Kluyveromyces lactis: one gene and its partner. The main gene of each other region encodes a partner of the protein of the gene in region 2 in a complex. Links are inferred from orthologs where the notes say so. Each region holds a gene or a part of one and is shown on either strand. Other genes may lie near its edges.

What was found.
Region 1: PRP28 (region 2) and AAR2 share a complex: the UniProt entries of both Saccharomyces cerevisiae proteins name them as parts of the U5 snRNP complex. The link is inferred for Kluyveromyces lactis from reciprocal best matches to the Saccharomyces cerevisiae genes PRP28 and AAR2.

What each region holds. Positions count from the first base shown.
Region 1 is NC_006041.1:1,818,943-1,822,034, reverse strand, and holds AAR2 (U5 snRNP complex subunit AAR2), read right to left. Parts: upstream 1,587-3,092; coding exon 513-1,586; downstream 1-512. Other genes in the region: RPS8A (40S ribosomal protein eS8), read right to left, coding at 2,452-3,057. UniProt on the Saccharomyces cerevisiae protein: Component of the U5 snRNP complex that is required for spliceosome assembly and for pre-mRNA splicing. Involved in splicing pre-mRNA of the A1 cistron and other genes that are important for cell growth.
Region 2 is NC_006039.1:1,338,929-1,342,362, forward strand, and holds PRP28 (mRNA splicing protein PRP28), read right to left. Parts: upstream 2,131-3,434; coding exon 511-2,130; downstream 1-510. Other genes in the region: active spliceosome conformation promoter CWC2, read left to right, coding at 1-69; PEX5 (Pex5p), read left to right, coding at 2,642-3,434. UniProt on the Saccharomyces cerevisiae protein: ATP-dependent RNA helicase involved in mRNA splicing. May destabilize the U1/5'-splice site duplex to permit an effective competition for the 5'-splice site by the U6 snRNA, resulting in the switch between U1 and U6 at the 5'-splice site.

The sequences.
Region 1 (3,092 bases), on a different chromosome or scaffold from region 2:
ACTAATTCTCGGTCTCGTTCTATAATAATCCCAGCTCATCGCACAATTATCTTACTTTTCGCCCTTAGAAAGACCGAGAAGCTTCCTAAAATTCTATTTTAGTTTTCTTTTTCCCTATTTTCTGCACTTTGCAAATTGCAGATGTTCCATAACGATCCACCACAAAAGCACCACTTTTCTTTTCAGGTTCTCTTCTGTGTGATTCGATACGTAATGATAGTGTTGGGAGCTAGGCTGGGTACTACACGGTTCAGGTCAGACCATTCGGGCGCTGTCTGATATTCTGTTGAGTGAATTTCCTTCCATGTCATGTCCTGTCCTAACCTGTCTAAGCGAGGACTAAAGCTTGATCCGCATTGTGCGTCAAAATTTTTATCCGGAGTAGCAATTAGTCACGTGACTTTGTGGCATTTGCTCCTTCGCTTGCGGGTTTTTTCTAGTCCCCTCTGGCAGGTTCTGAAAATATAGATTCGTAAGTAGCTGTCACGTGATTGGTTTTTCCCTTGTGGTTGTTATCTGCTAGTGTATACCACCTGGGATGCTATCGCTGGTGCATATTCGTTTTCGTCTTCGTTGTCATCTTCGTTGTAGCTACCTTCGTGGTCTTGATCTTCTTCTTCAATATACGTCTCATTGAGGAATTGTTCCTGGATTAACGTCTTCCAAGATGGTAATGGCACTTTACTGCGCCTGACACATTTTTGCAAAAGTTCTATGTTGATGAGAAATTCTCGATATTCTTCCGGTATTCTCTTCATCTGCGTGCATAACAAACTATCCAATTGTTCCATAATCTCTTTATACTTTCCTTCTGTAAGGCAATCGCTGAAGCAGACTAGTTCAATTATGTTATGCCATTGTAAACTGGATCCATAGTTGGCGAACAATATGCTGTTCAAGTAACTGAATTGTAGTTCTCCGAATAATGATTTCAAATTTGAGTAATGATATTTTATTAGTATCACTTGCATTAGATACCACGATTTATCGAGAAAGTCTTGCATCTTGAATTCGGGCCTCATCGATTCAGGGTCCTTGAATCGAATTGGAGTATATCGAAACGTGATCTCATCTGTTGGTGCCAATATCATATTGTGTCTAACATCACCAACCCTTTTCTGAAGCATGTTGGCTTCTTCCATGCTGGTCATTGAGGAATCTACGTATACATATGACTCGCTGTTGAATTCGCTTTCGCACCATAGTCTAACTTCCTTCCAGCGGATATATTTCACTAATTCTTGCCATTCCTCGGAATACTCATTGCTTGGGTATTCTACCATCAAATGTTGGCAGTTATCGAACTTATTTACAGCAGAGTTGTTGTCAATTTCCAATTGAGGTACCATTATTTCCCTGATTGGATCGAATTGGAAGTTGATGAACTTTTGACGATCTGAGTTAATCCAGTACCCGTATCTTATCCCACTCTCATCTCGTTGGAAATGTAAGATATGAACGGTGTTCCCCTCATGTTTCGGTATATGTTTGAATCCATGGAACGGTTGTGAAGCTGGTAATTGGAAATGGTTCAAATCAATGCCTATTGTAGTACCAACAGGTACGTTATCTAGAAAGATATTCATATTGTGTCGTGCCGAGAATCCAAGCCTATGACTACAAAAGAGATGGGATTTACGTCGAATATGGGAAGCACTAACACGGACCGAAAGATCTGATTATCAGAGTAGACATATAAACTAGATATTCATGTTCCATAGATTGCACCTTATGGCGTGCCCTAATGCTTTATGAAGCTCTGCGCTAAAGCCAACAACCTGCATCGTCATACATGATCCATGAGTATAAAAGTATCAACAGTTTTTCACCAGTTCGAAGTATAAAAAAAAACTGAAAGAAATTGCTTTCATAATATTTATAAACTGCTCGACTCACGTTTAGAAGAGAATATGGTCTTCGTCTCTATAACCTCACTTTCATTCATTAACCCAATCAATGTCCGGTGAATCTAACGACAAACACACTGTTCAGAGGAACAGTGGGGCTGTGACACTCTGTTATGGCCTTTTATGCTTTTCATTTTATTTTAACGTGATGAAACAAATTTTACACAGACCTGTACTGAATTCTCTTTTTTGAATCATGCAGATAAACACTTTTGCCTTTTTTTCTGATCATTATATCACATAACATACATCTTGTCTACTGTTCGTACATTATTCCATAACAATCGTTTTCTCAACATTCTGTAGATACACGCTTTTGAGATGGACATCTTGAGCTAGTAATCGGAGCCAGAGTTTTAACTACCTTGCATAAGTACTGATGGTACTGAAACTGAGAAAGTTATAAGTAAAAATACTATGACTTATTATATTTTATACATTTGTAAAGATATAAAATGACCAAAAGAACCTTTGGCTGTGATAATAACGGTTAATAAGGAGTTTTGATAAATTGGCGTATATGTTAATTTGCGAAGGAGTTGACTTATTTCTTAGCAGTCAATCTTCTCAAGTAGAAGGCCAATTCTTCACCTTCCAAAATGTAACCATCACATCTACCGGATTGACCTGGTCTGGAAGAGATAGCAGCGTACAATCTACCAGCACCGAATTGAGAGTCAACGGCGTGTTCGATCTTAGCTTCAGCAGCTCTGGCAGCCCACTTTCTTTCAGTGTTCTTAGAGGTGGTGGCGGTTTCTTCTTCAGCCTTAGTGTTCTTCTTCTTACCCAAAGATTGACCGTAGTGAGATTCGTACCATTGTCTGAATGGGGTAGCATCGATTTGAACGATAGCTGCCTTGGTCAAAGTGTTAGTTCTAACCAATTCATTGTTGGATGGATGGTAGACGACACCAGTGATTCTGGTCTTTCTAGCGACACCTTCGGAAGCCCAGGAGAAGTTACCAGTTTCAATTCTCAAAGCTCTGAACTTCTGGTTACCACCTCTGGTTCTAACAGGATGAATTCTCTTAGTACCGATCTTGGTGTTGGCAGCTTGACGGCCTAATTCGAACTTTCTCTTCTTTCTGAATTGAGCACGTTTAGCACCGGTAGCAGCTCTTTTGTGACGAGAATCACGAGAAATACCCATTTTGCTTTACTGTAGATAAAAGCTTTAGTAAAAGA
Region 2 (3,434 bases):
AATATAACAGTTTCAAAACCATCGTCGGTTTTACCTTTGGTAACCCAATATTCATCTGATGAAGACTAGATTTCGTGAAGTCATGTGACACATTGACTTTTCCAGATTAGGTATATTTTGGATTACTGGTTGCCGTCATGAACAACATCTAGCGGATTTCAGATTTGTTTTACTGACATTGCAAATATTTGAAATGAATATAAAAGCTATCAATGCCTGGTTTTCAAATTATGTCGAAGTTGTTTTGTCGAGTTCACTTACTTGAACTTCGTCAGTCTACGGTTTGGCCTTCATCAAAAAACACGATAATTTTGAATCAGACATCCGAAAAAATGGAAGACAAGGCACAGGCTCAAACAAGAACGCATGAATCGTCAGACCATTGGGTATTTCCAGGATTGACCTGGAATCCTAAATGCATTATTAGCTAGCACACTGTAACTATTTACGTTAAATACTCTAATTCATATTGCATGACTCTAAAATTTCAAGGAAAAAAGTCTAGTCCTTTCATATAATAATTGGTTTGTATGAAGATTTGTCAACATTGTATTTCGACATAGCTTCTTTTGAGATGTAATTTTCTCCGGTGAAGTCGTTCTTTTTGACATAATCGAACAATTTAGCCATGGCAGAATGATCTTCCTCCTCGGTTAGAAAAGTAAGTGCAGTACCAGTTTTACCAGCACGTCCAGTTCTACCTACACGATGCACAAAGCTGTCAAACGACTTAGGAAATTGTAGATTCACTACTAAAGAAACGTTAGGTATATCGATACCTCTTCCAGCGACATCAGTAGCTATGAGAATATCTACTTTCCCATTTCTCAAAAGACTTAAAGAGTGTTCACGTTGTTCCTGTGATTTTGAGCCGTGAAGAGTTGTTGCTCGGAACCGAGCCTCTCTAAGTTTGTCGAATAACCAGTCAGCTGTTCTTTTGTAATTTATGAATATTATGATAGGAGCCTTGTAATTTGGTAGGAAATCTTTTACAAGTATCTTAAGTTTTTCTTCTTCATCTGGAACATACCGTACTATTTGTTTAATTTTTGGTTTAGATTCTTCTCCTCCAACCGTGACATAGCTTGGCTTTTTCAAATAGCCATTAGCAACTTTTTCTATGGTAGGTGAGAATGTAGCCGTAAACATCATTGTTTGTCTATTGGAAATTGTTTCTGTCTTTGCTAAAATTGTAGTCAACTGATCTTCAAAACCGAAATCTATCATCTTGTCCGCTTCATCCAACACTAACGTATTTACTTGCTTTAAAAATAAAAGATGAGAATCTAGACAATCAAGTAACCTTCCGGGTGTAGCAACCAATATATCACATCCATCTCTTAGGTTTGCTGAAATTTCTTCCAAGGAATGTCCACCAACAATACTTACGATATTGCAAGGTCGTTTCCATAGTTTCGTAATTGATTGCCCCTCATGTTGTATTTGCTGTGCCAATTCTCTTGTTGGTGCTAATACTAATGCCAAAGGACCATCATGTTTAGTAATTGAATTAAGTGGCGGTATACCGTGAAGTTTTATAAGAATTGGAAGCAAAAATGCAAGTGTCTTACCAGAACCAGTACTAGCAACACCAATGAAGTCTCTATTGTTTATAACATTCGGTATTGTACTGCGCTGAATGGATGTTGGCTCGTTGTAGTGCAAATCATTTGTAATAATGTTTAACAAATCTTCCGGAATTAACTTTAATTCGTGCCAGTTTCTTAGAGGTTTCTCTACTGTTCCACCTTTACTCGAGATATTAAAGTCTTCAGATAGAATCCTCCAATCCCTAGTGCTCATCTCTTCATATTTCTTTTCAGACCAATGCTTCCCCAAGTAATTGTCGACAATACTTTCATCTTCATTTTGTCGTTTCTTCAAAAGGTCGGCGGATTTTCTTGCTAGGAATAGTAAATCATCTGGTTCATTAGATACTTGTTCCTCGTATAGTTCGTCTTCGTCGAGATTCCTATAATTATCTTTCCTCTTGATAACGGTGTGTGACAATGCCTTTGACGCTTCTTCTTCTTCTGGTTGTGGAAATGTTCGTTTCTTGATCAGAAACCGAGGTTTCTTCGCAGGAACTGTGTCTGATATTAAGTCATCAATACTGACGGGCCTTAGCATGGTAAAGTGTGATACTTTCTACCCATCTTTACAATCGTGTAATATTGCAATACCTTTGAGAAATGAGATGAGCTCCACCGTCTTAAAGCTTAAAGAACTTAAAGGCACAGTTTCTGATATTGTCGCCACGAATAACCTAATACGGTATATGTCCGGGTAATAACATCGCCCCAAACCTGTTCCGAAAAATCATGGCGATAATCTCAATCAATCTCTGGAGCTTTGAAAAACTCCAGAGATTGATGAATCATGATTTAAACAAACTAACCGAACACTTTCATGACATTGCCAAGGTTGAATTCATATATAACTGGATTCATCAACATATCAAATCTACATACTTTCTACGCAGAACTTGTCATTGTGTTCATTTGTTTGAGCTAGTAGCTTTATTATCAATCATCAAGGGAGCTAAAAGGGTTTACTAAGCATAGACTAAGGGAGCTCATCAAGGGAGGTGGTAGAGTTTAAAAACAAGAAAATATCCCATCTCATTTGACATAATACAATTATGAGTGCAGATTGTTCCGTTGGATCAAATCCTCTCGCGCAGTTGAATAAACATGCCCAGCAGAATCCTGCTCTGAGACAAGTGGGGTATCAAAATCCGGCCAGTAATGTTGCTCAAAACTTCAAAACTCATGTGAATGAAGTATCCAATGCAAATCGTTTTCAAATGGACCAGTTTATGAACAGGTCACCTGGTTTTTCTGATGGTCAGTTGGGAATGGCGCCTGTTCCTAGTGCTATTCTTTCGCATGGTCCTCGTTTTGGACTAAAGAAACAAGATAGTGGAAGCAGTAATATGTCAGCAGGCGATACAGCTCAGCATTCCAGGAGCTGGGGTAATGAATTTAATAGCAGATCTCCTCAACAGGGTTTAGCCAGCAGAGTCAATAATGTTGAAAGAATAAGCAACACAAATTCTATGAGTTCATACAGGCCTGGCATGTCCCGGATCGGGAGGCCGATGATGCATACAGGTATTTCTTCATTACATAATTATTCTCACATGTCTCAGCAAACACCGCAAATGTCCAGTGATGATGGTGTTCTCGCTGACAAGCAGTGGAATGAGCAGTTTGAAGCCTTGGAGAAGGCTGTGGCTGAAAATTTGACCATGGAGGACAATAAAGAGGAAACCAAGGAGGAGATAGTAGTGGAGGATGGATATCAAGCAGACTTCCAAGAAGTCTGGGATAAGTTACAAGCGGAGACGGCTGATAATAATTTGGAAACAAGTGATTCTCAATGGGAGAAAGATTACGCTCGCTATATGACTGGTAAAGCAACACATATTCCAC